Linked DNA regions of Drosophila melanogaster. The protein of the gene in region 2 purifies or fractionates together with the protein of the main gene of each other region. This does not show direct contact. Each region holds a gene or a part of one and is shown on either strand. Other genes may lie near its edges.

Region 1 (5,348 bases), on a different chromosome or scaffold from region 2:
TCGCAATTTTAACTGAAGTGCAACAGGAGGCCGCGTGTTAATGCTGAAAAAGGACAACAAGCCAAGGACCCTTTTGCAGCAAAGTGGCGAAGTCGTGACGAACTCTGAACTCCAGTGAAAAAAGGAAAAAACGGAGAAGCAGTGGGACAGCTCCCAGCTGGATGTCGCGGTCACTTTTCATGCTTTCTACTGAGCCTTTTCAGATCCCTTTTTCATTATCCCGGACCGGGCTCGTGCTGAATTTTCTGAGGCGGGCCAGCAACGAAAAGTCTGGGGTGAAAGTCACGCGCTGAATTTAATGCCCAGCCAATGCCCCGAAAACGAGGCGTGTCAATGACTCTGGGTCACCAAATTGTTGTGCCAAGCAATCCGATTTCTGGCATCTCTCTGATTGCCCCACACACAACTTGATGGCCAACTTTCAGTTCTGCGCTCTCGATTTCGAGGTTACCCATACGCCCCGTCGCACGCGCAGCAATTGATAGATGGTTAGAAATCTGTGGCAGGCCCAATGTCAGAGGAAGGCAACCGCAGTATAGAACTTGTAGTGTCTCGTCTTAGAAATGTTCTTAAACAATTCGCCCAACTGTCGGAGAACTGCCACAAAATTCCAGCTGACAGGATTGGTTTCTGCGGAGAACAAGGCATTTGGATATCACATCCGTTATATAGTTTCTACTTTATGTTTGGTAATTATTCTGAATCTACCAACTTGCGATTGGCCCATTTCGTATATGTAATGGGCTTAATGCTAACAACAATCCAAAAGCAAAGTAATGCATTTTTTCGAAGCCAATTTTAGTCCGACAGTTTTCGAGGACCAAATTTGCTATTATTTTTCCATAGGTTCCCTTTAACAAACTTACGTTTGAAATTCGTTTTCTTTCATCTCCCACCTCCATAGATATAATTTTTGGGGGAACTTAATTAGAATTTTGCTGAGTCTGTGAGTTTTTCTTGTTTTGCCTCCGGTGCCCGCATATGTTGCGCAAATTTAATTGCTCTACAAAGCCGCAAAATAGACAAACAAAAGTTCCCGCACCGCCCACACACAATCGAAAAGCATTTGGAAGGAGTTGAACATGAACACAAGACACAGATTTCGGGACAAAAAACAAAACAGTGGAGCCCGCAGTGGCAGTCGCAGTCTGCGGAGGCAATTTCAACTTTTCCCAGTGTGTACTTAATGGAAAATGACTTTATTGTAAGCCGGCTTGCAGGCCTCTAAGCGCCAATTTTCAACACTTGCGCTATTTTATGAAAGCTTTCCTTAGCAGGCTGAGAATGTATACAATTATGCAAAATACGAAGAATTTTCCACAAGGAACAGCCTCCTTTCTTTCTTTTAATATAAACCTTCTGGCGGAAACATAGACTCAATGTTGTGGCAGTACGCCACCAGTGATCTGTCCTTGTCATCCGGGAATATTTTACCCAAAAACTCGAGCAATCCAGGCTGATTCTGTACAATTTCGGCGTACTCTTCAAACGCTATCACCCCATCCTTGTCAGTGTCGAATTTTCCGAATATGAACTCGCACATGTCCTGCTCGGAAACGGTGCTGAAATGCAAGCATAATTGTCAATAATGTCAGTACACTCACCGCTCGCAATTCGTTGACCTCGTCGTCGTCATCGCCAGTGAAGAATTGTTCAATGGCCACGCCGACCACCTCGCGATTCAGAACCACAGCACCACCGCTTGTATAAACCTGTAGTCCATGGGGAAATTTAATAAAGGAGTAGCCACGATTTCGGAGCAACCACCTCAAATGCGAACTTCATTCGCTCCTGCAGACTTCCGTTGAAGAACACACAGAACAGCCGCATCCAGGCTTCTGGAGAGACTGATCGGCCATCCTGCGTGATATTCATCGAAATCCGGTCGATGATGGTCACGTCGAAGATCCCAAAGCTGACGAGGAATAGATTGTACAGCTGGCTGGTGGACATCATGCGGGACCTGTTGTTCAGGGCGTACTTGTAAAACACGATCAGCAAGCTGACCACTTCGTTGGTGGAAAACTCCGTGGAGGCAGCGAAGCTCTTGATCAAAGTACTGTACATGGTGAGGAACTTGTTGTTGGCCATGTCGTCCAGGGTAAGGTCGATGCGGTTCATTGTGTTTTTTAATGGCAATGGTAAACAAGTAATTATTATTTAAAATGTTTTTTAAGAGAGTACTGTGTAATGGGGCGTGTGTTTCGGGTGTGTGATGAAAATGCCTAACTTATGAGGCTCTGGCCTGCTTAAAAGGGTGAGGGTTATGCAAGACAAATTGCAAATAGATTGGGTAAGTCGCAGCCGCAGCCTAAGGATTCGCCGGGAATGTAACTGGCGCAATTTAAAAGCGATAAAACAACGCCGCGACATAAAAAATACATCAGCCACGCTACATGGACTACATCTGTCCCCCATTTCGAATAAATATTTGAAACAAACCCGCCTGATGAAACACACAAAGGCTGAGAAAAAAGCTGAAAGCTGTGCGCATGAGAAACGCGAATATAATAATCCAAACAAAAGCGCTGAGATGGGTGTAAAGCCTTCCATGTGGAAATTCGTCGGAAATGGCTGTGTAGCCATTTTGTTTGGGGTAACAAATGTTCGGAATCTCCTTCCCTTTGTTGTATAATTGTATGCCCCCTTCGAAACACACTCACGCAAGCACACACTCACACGTGCCACGCCCACCGAAATACCAAAAAAAATGAGGAGGCGGCTGAGCAGCTCGACACGGCATAATAACAATAAAATAAGAGTGGATGATGAAGGAGAGAGGGCGGCAAGGATTCACGCTCCTTAATGTCTCCACAGTTGACATCGCCAAGTGTTGGCGGATTTACAGGCAAGTTGGGCTGGATTTTGGTATGGACTTTTGATTGATATATTTTACGTACGGTGTTTGGAAGAGACTTACGGCATAAATTTGTTAAGCAAGACAAATGGCGCGGAAGCGAAATTGGAAACATTTTAATTCTCATAAAACGCTTAAAGAGGGCAACCATATATTTTGTATTTTTGAAATCCAGAAAAGCAGGCGAAGGAAACATATGCCAGCTGCACTAGACATATCCATTAAATCATTGTAACTCCTTAATCGATAATCAAACAATATCATATATCCAGTAGTAAATCAAAGTAAAGAGTAAATCACCGTGAGCTTCCCTGAACCATGGAAAACCTAGACTCCACTGTCGATAGCACCGAGAACAGCAAGTTCTCGGCCCTGTACGGTGGATTGATTAAGGAGATCGCTGCAACCTCGAAGATGTCCACCTTGGACATCACCTGTTTGCTTTGCGTTTACTACAAGTTCGTCAGGTTCAACGGACCTGGCGCCAAACAGATGAAGAAGAATCAGTTCTACCAGATCTACTTGGTGCTCTTCAACGTGGCCAATGTTCAGGTGATTGAACGCTCCCTTCTGGCCATCACCAAGGATACCAAGTACGTGAGTCCCCGTGCCTGGGTTGATCTCTTTGAGCTGTACACCACAGAGGATCTGGAGCGCCGTATGAAGTTTGCCTTTGAAGTGGGTAATGGATTGTTAAGCATTTCTAGAAGGCTCTAATAGGGTTCTTTATTAGGTTTATGACACCAAGAACACCGGAGTTATCGATCGCGAGCAGGTGGGCGTGGCATGCGAGAAATTCTTCCACGAAGGCGACGACGAAGATGAACTAATTGAGCTCAGAGCGGTAAGCTTGCTTATCAATTTAGAATAATTTAATAAATTTACTCCTCACAGGACATGACTGAATTTATTATGAAGAAGTTTGATGTAGACAAGGATGGAGTCATTTCGTTTGAGGACTACTCCTCGGTTGTTTCACAACAACCCGTTTTGGTTGAGTTCTTGGGCTGGCTATTTCCATCGAACGAAGAAAGGGATCTTATGGCCCATGTTATCAACATGGACTCCATGCTCAATTATTGTAATCCGGACGCAAAATAGGCTTGTCGTTTGATTAAGCTTGATTATCCCACTGTGATAATAATCGAACGACAAACGACAATGAATGAGGACCAAAAGGATGCCGCCAAAGTAGTTGATCAAAATTTTTGTATGATTTCAAATTAATCATTTTTATAAGCATGATATATCAAATTTCCACCAACACTTTGAAAATAAAGCAAAATGTTTCGCGTGAGCTGTCTTAAAAGGACTTGCGATTGGTTCTTGTGTTAACTTGGTTTATATAAGGCGATAGAGTGGGCGACTCTTTATGTGAACTAGCAGACACTGCGTATGCATCATAAGCTCTCCAAAATCTCTGTTCACATTCTGCACGGGGCTCTGATCAAGTGGATATGCACACTTTAAAGAATACTGTATGGGTAACGGCGCTATGAGCCGTTTTGGATACTTATATAATTCCGATAGCCAAAAACGAAAAAATGCGACGCAGGAGCCTTTGAACTTATACGAAATAGTTTTTAAACATTGTTATTCAAAATCCATCTGCCAACCCGAACATAACACAAAAATCACAAAAAAAAAAAAAAATTAGAAAAAGAAAACACACACAAAAAAAAAGTTTCAAAATAAGGAAAAAAATAACAAAAAAAACTTTACAAGGAAATAAAAAACATTAAAAAGAATTTAGTTATGGAAAACCTAGACGCCACCATAGATAGCATGGAGAACAGTCGGTTTGCAGCGCTCTACGGGAGTTTGATCAAGGAGTTAACCCTAACTTCGGAGTTGTCCCAGACGGACATCACCTGTTTGCTCGTCGTTTATTACAAGTTCTCAAAGGCCAACGGACCGCAGTGCAAGCAGATGACCAAGAAGCAGTTCTATCAGATCTTCTTGGTGCTCTTCAACGTGGCCAGTGTCCAGGTGATCGAACGCACTCTGCTCGCGATCACAAAAGATACGAAATATGTCAGTCCCAGGGCCTGGATCCACCTCTTCGATCTCTACACAACCAATGACATTCAAGTGCGAATGCGATTTGCTTTCGAGGTCAGTCCTGCTATCCTTAAGTAAATTTGTATCGAAAATACGTTTTCCCATAGGTCTATGATACCAAAGGCACTGGCGTTATTGATCGCGAGCAAGTTGGCACGGCTTGTGAAAAATTTTTTTACGGCGAAGACGAAGATGAACTTAATGAACTTAAGGCGGTAAGTAAACATAATTACTCTTTAATCGTAGTAGTAATTAAAACAGTTTAATGGATATTACTAATTAACTATCTGTCTGATTGTTTAGGATATGACCGAGTTCCTAATGAAGAAGTTTGATCTGGACAAGGACGGAGTCATTTCCTACGAGGACTATTCTACTGTCGTGGAACAGCAGCCAATTTTAGTGGAGTTCTTAGGTTGGTTATTTCCAT
Region 2 (6,046 bases):
AATAACAGAACTTTAAAAGCTATATTAGAATATAATTAATATTAAGTTAATTGGGATGATGATTAGCATATGAAGTCTTTGCTATTGCTATAGATTAATTGCTAAAATATGAAAGAACCTTGATACCTAGTATACTTAATGATCCTATTCAACATGACCGCAGTCCTGTAATTATCCCTAAATAACCTTTTGAACTGGGTGCTCTTCTTTTTGTAGCGCTTAAAGCCCAGATAAGCATAATTCGTGCCTTCTTTCTGTCTCTGCGAAACCAAAAAACCCGCAATTCCTGGCGCCACAATGTTACCATTGTAACCACCACCCTGCTCCAATCCTGTCTGCCCGCATTGGCGCCACGTTGGGCGTCCTGTTTGCGTGTCCTGGCCACATTTTCGGAGCTACAAGCGAAAGGACTCATACACACACTCGCACAATAGTTCGTTTTCCAGGCAGCTGGAGTTTCCTAGTTGCCGGTTCTTTGGGCAAAAGTCGAGCTGAGCCCGCACATTCTGATTGTAGTTGTCCGAAGTCACAGCATTTACTGACCTACCAAATGACCCATATTACAAAATGTTCACAGTGCAACGAACTTGTGCTTCACTTATTCACTCACTGCTTCAATTTCTCAATTCAAATGAAAATTTGGCAAGCGAAAATATGACTAACTTCTCTAGCAATTCGTACATATGACGTGTGCAGACAGGTTTTCCTTAGTCGCCCTGATAAGGCTAATACATATTTTTTATGAAATCTTTTTATAAACGCTTATCAGTTTAGTTGAACAGGTGCCTTTTTTGGTTCTAAGTGATAACTCTTAAAAATACTAAAGTTCGTAAGAATGGGAATCCAAAAAACATACATATGTTATCAGCTTAGTTGATTAGAGCTCATTTCAGATCTTCTACAATAAATAAATAAATAAATAAAATAAACTATGAGGAATTGATGATTCGATTTTTATGAAGTGATTATGAGTCACACTTTTAAAAATGCGTTATTGAAACATATTTTTTTTAATTATCAATTATGATTCTTTGACGTTTATCTGTGCATATTTACCCCAATCTAAGGCTACCGAGTATAAAAGTATCATAAAATATTTTAGCGGTTACTAACAATATCTGAAAGTTAGCCTTATCATAGCCGAAATGTTATGTCATGGCGACACACTGATAGTGTTTTAGCTTTAACCTTTTTTTTTTTTGTCCATTTCCATGCGACCTTATCAAAATTCGACACAAATTGTGCTTAGATCGCTTATAATGATTATTCCTTTCGACACAACTAACCTATCTCCAGTTATTAAATATCGCACTTATACAATGCTAAGTGAAATGCTTTTGTTTGTCGCTTCAGCTGCGTAAACATTTACAGATTATATAGCTTGATTTAATTTTTTATTGTACAACTAGTATACACCGCTAGTAGAGATTAGAACACCCACATCAAGGTTGACGACTAAGCGATTTTCCAGCCTCAGAAAGTTCTCATTGAGGGCTGATATTCCAACCTCGCAATGAGTTATTATTGCGCAACAATATTATTACTTCATAAAATAAAATATATGTCAATTGGGTTTCTTCCTTGATTGACTTTCCTTAACAGTTCCAGTTCAATGTATCTTTGATGACACAGTTCCGGTCATTTTCCCTCTTCTGATTACCAACTATTTTTCACCCAATTTCAATCCAAGCCAGCAGGAAAACGTCACCAGTCAGGAAGAGCTTACTTCTATACACAGCAGCACACCCGATTCCCTTTTCCTGGAGCACCCCCATCCACATCGAATCCTTTTGGCAAACTTCCAGGGCGAGTGCAGCATGTGCTCCTTGATACTCTGTGAGCGAAGCCAGAAATAAGGGGTCTACATATCCTTAGAGCATCTCCAGGATGCCTCGGCAAGTGGAGGATGCCTTCTAGTGGATTTGGGAGTAAAAAAAAATCTTTGAATAGCCCCGGTCTTCTGGTAGACATGTGCATTCGTAAATGGATAATAACATAGTTCGTTTTATTTTCCTTTTACTCCACTCTCATCGCGCACTCAAATCATATGCCCGTCGAGGCGAAGCACTTTTCCTTATTGTTTTCCCATGTCACAACTGGAATTTTGTGGCAAGATGGGATTGGGAGTCTTAAAAAAAATGAATTCCCTCCGGCGAAAGAAATTTCGTTTCGCAGCATTTTCCCCTCTTCTTGTGCCTCTCAACTTGTCACTTTTCACATTTTGTTTATTTTTGATGCATCTTTCAGTACTTGAGTTAGTTCTTTTCGGTCTGTTGGCTTGCGTTTTTAGATTGGAAATTTTCCCAGGAGATTTGATATTTATAGAATGTGTACATTCAACTCGAAAAGTACAGCTTAACTCGAGTTTTTTTTATTCACAAATTAAACATTAACTTACAAACTTACGATATCATATTTAACCTGTCGACTAAAGTTAGCAAACTAAAGCTAAACTGAAGGCTTAGGTCAAAGTAGCTTAACTAATTCCCAGGACGACACACAAAAAAGTCATACATTAGTTCCAGGGAGCAATTTATCCAGGTGCAGGACTACGTCAGCTAACTTCATTAGTTACTTGCCACAAGCAATTTGATTCTTGTCCTCTCACTGCCACCCCCTTCCAATTCAACCTCCCCGTGGGCCTTCGCTTGACCCACGCTGACCCGGAAAACTTTTCCCCCAACAATTTCACAAATTGTGTGGAACATGAAAGTTTGTTGCACAAGCACAAAATATATTCGAAACGAGTTCGGCTAACACCTTAATTGGGCGACTGAGTTGGTTTTTAATTAAAAGACTATTTCCATGACACGACGGTGACCCCAGTCCGCTTTGTATCTTAGCTACTAAAGAGAATCAAAACTAAATGTAGTTCCAAAATATAACAAGATTTTTAAAGAGTCCTTCCTAGACTTACACAATTTGTGTGCCTCTAGTCGGCTTGTAAAAATCAGTCGAGCCAGCCAGCTCGAGTTCGCTACCAGTTGTTAGTTAAACTATTTTATTGGATGAAGCTCGTTGGGGATTTGTTAACCTAAAGTGATCGCCGGGCTATTGGCAATCCGATCCTGGTGATCCGATCCTCACCAAGCAGACGCGGAACAATGACGATGAATCGCCACGAGCGTATCGAGTGCAAAGGATGCGGAAAGCGGTCCCTCACCTTCAGGTGCTATCGCTGCCTGAGCTGCCAGGACTTTGATATTTGCGAGGAGTGCTATGACAATGACTTCACCACATCCACGCATCCGTTTGACCATCCGGTGGTATGTGTCCTCATTCCGGCAGATGTGGAACTGTACTTTGGTGGCGAGTACATCAGTAACTATCCGCCGCAGAGCTACCGCTGTCCGTACTGCAAGAGATGGGGCTTCAACGAGTCCACCTTCCTGGAGCATGTATCGGCAATGCATCCGGATGCCAGTCCCCTGCTGGTCTCCACCATGGTCGGTCTCTTCGAGCAGCAGCAGGCGGCACGTCTCTTTCTGGAGAATGAGCAGTTGGCCTCCATTGCCGTGGCCGCCACATCGCGCAACGAACTGATGCGTCGCCCAGAGGGCTCCATGGCCCTCTACTTGGAGCCGCTAAATCGGGATGGAAGCTATCGCAGGGTGGTGGAACGGAATAACGAAGATCGTTCGCGGCGCTTGTCTCCGGATGGCCGTGATCGGCTTCAGGCTCTGGTCAGAGAGCGGTACTCCCGTATTGCACGCCGAAGTGCTGCCAGAGTTGGTAACATGACTTCCAGACCGCTGCTAGCGCCTGCTCCCGGTGACGGCTCCCGCTTGAGTGGGATACAGGAGAGCATAGAGGCAGGCCAGGGAATACGTAATGTCATTGTGGAAGAGCTAAGCACCTCCAACTACGATCCTCCATTCACCATCAATGCCAGTGCCAGTGCCATATTGGAGCAACAGCAGCAGCAGCAGGTGATGGGACCAAGCCCAAATGCCGCCGCTCCACCTATCGTAACACACCCATCGCTGATCGAGATGATGCGCTTCTATGACGAGGCTGGCTTGCAGCCATTTCCAGCTTCATCCCGTCGAGTCATCCGCACCAGGCACGCAAACCCAGCTCAACCGGCGGCCAACATCGGTAACAATACACGGAGCATAAATGTTTACGGACCCACATCCGCTTTTACCCAGGCGTCGCACAATACTCGATCCTTGACCGCCCCCGATCTGTTTTCGCTTGACGAGCGGTATCGTATTAGCAGGATGCCCATGTTCCAGGCAAATCCCGGAGCACTACATCGCCAGGGAACCGGGACGCGCGCTTTGGATACGCGCGCCGTGGAATTCAGTGAATTTCCGCCGGAAGAAACCGAACTGCCCCTCATCCTGGGCACTTCCACGATCGAGGACCCGTCGAAGCTGACCAAGCAGAGGGATCAGGAGCGCAGGCGTTTTCTCTGCTATCGCTTCACAACACCCAGGTCATCTAAGCGTCCCCAGAATCATTTTCTATTGCAACGCGCCGAATTTGTTTCCCAGGTGCTTTACTCCGCCTTGTGCGATGAAGATTTCCAGGATATTTCCTTTCCGATCTTGAGAAACATTCCAAAACTGAGGACCATTCCGGACAACGTCATCTCCGGTGCCGGCGATGCTGAAAAGAATCCATCTAATCCGTAATCCATCAGAAACTGTTTTGTGTACAATTTATAGCAGTTCTTATACCCTTTGTATTCGTTAAATTTCCTGTTCATATCGATGGAACTTTTGGTAACTTGGCTAAAAGGCCAGAAAATTAATAACGTGTTTGCATTCCTTTTTAAGATGGATACAGTTTTTTTTTTGTTTATTTTTATTTAGTTTCGTTTTTATTCAAATTGAAAATTCAAATTGAAAATGCTTTACCATTTCACTTGTCAATTGGACAGCCAGCAGTCGTTATTTTTCAGCTTTTGAATTAGCCAATTCATTTTTTGAGGAGCCGTTTTCTTGACCCCATTAAAAATGTGCCAGTGTAGATAAAAAGAAAGATGATTGCAATCTCAAAGCCTTATAATCTGCAAGATGAAATTGCAACTTTTTAATTGAAAATAATTGGATAATGGAAATTGAACCGCATCTGTGCGAAGCTTTTCTTGTTGAGTGACGTCAAATGAAAATCCCTTTGAGTGTCAAATAGCTCGACTTTTATTCTGTGGCAATCATGAGGGATTTTGGCCAATTTGCGCAGTGCCTTTCATTTATTTGTATTTATTTTAAAGAAATATGATTACAAGCCTGGTAACTTGAGCAGAATTAATAACCTATCTATACACATTTGATAAAAAATGAAAATGTTATAAGTTCATTAATGACGCATTTCGACCCTTCTTCTGTAATTAAGATTTTAAATGATTTTTGAGGGAGCGCCCAGTTTTGTTTGAGCTGTGTACAATGTTTGCCAAAGGAGCGTTTTGAAAAGCACTACATTTTTTGTAGATATATGATAAGAAGACAAACTGCTCGTTTGAGTAATATAATATTTAAGCAAAATTTAAAAAAAAAATAGCCTGATATTTTGGTTTAATATAACCAATGAAACAAACAAATTGAAATCGAATCGATGACCGCTTCCTATGAATCAAAAGATGATTATTGAGGTTTAGATGGCTCATTTAAATATCAGGTTCGTTGGGTTGTAAGTCATTTACGCATTTCCGTATGGGGCAGACAACATTCTAGCCGTGCACTTGACTTTGGCAACCCGCGCCACCCGCTGACCTTCAATGAGGAGGCCTCACAGCAAACCCATGGGAGGGCAAAGGGAACGTGTTAAGCTGCCACTGCCACAAATGCCCTACGAATGTGCCGAACACTTGGGTTTGTTGGGGGGGGGGAAAGCACTCACAGTCATGACATCATCGGGGTCAGGGCACGCAATTGGATTGGGCCAGGGGATTGGGCTTGGAAGTGGGGATAATGGGAATGGGAATGGAAATGGGGAGCACATTAGCTACGAAAATCTGATTTTTCATTGGCTCACTCTCCGTTTCTGATTCTGTTTTTCGTAGATATGCGGCCTACTACTGGAAAGTGTCGCGTGAAGG

What was found. The genes of interacting proteins can lie anywhere in the genome.
Region 1: the proteins of CG15286 (region 2) and sunz purify together in Drosophila melanogaster (affinity purification with mass spectrometry, with the first as the bait; one large-scale study listed by BioGRID). This does not show direct contact.

Annotation. Positions count from the first base shown.
Region 1 is NT_033777.3:6,627,018-6,632,365, reverse strand, and holds sunz (sungrazer), read right to left. Parts: upstream 2,216-5,348; 5' UTR 2,122-2,215; coding exon 1,768-2,121; intron 1,713-1,767; coding exon 1,605-1,712; intron 1,547-1,604; coding exon 1,346-1,546; 3' UTR 1,182-1,345; downstream 1-1,181. Other genes in the region: CG15177 (uncharacterized protein), read left to right, coding at 3,176-3,535, 3,591-3,701, 3,752-3,958; sowi (solwind), read left to right, coding at 4,613-4,972, 5,026-5,133, 5,222-5,348.
Region 2 is NT_033779.5:14,335,297-14,341,342, forward strand, and holds CG15286 (uncharacterized protein), read left to right. Parts: upstream 1-2,943; 5' UTR 2,944-3,104; coding exon 3,105-4,640; 3' UTR 4,641-4,784; downstream 4,785-6,046. Other genes in the region: CG33090 (uncharacterized protein), read left to right, coding at 6,011-6,046.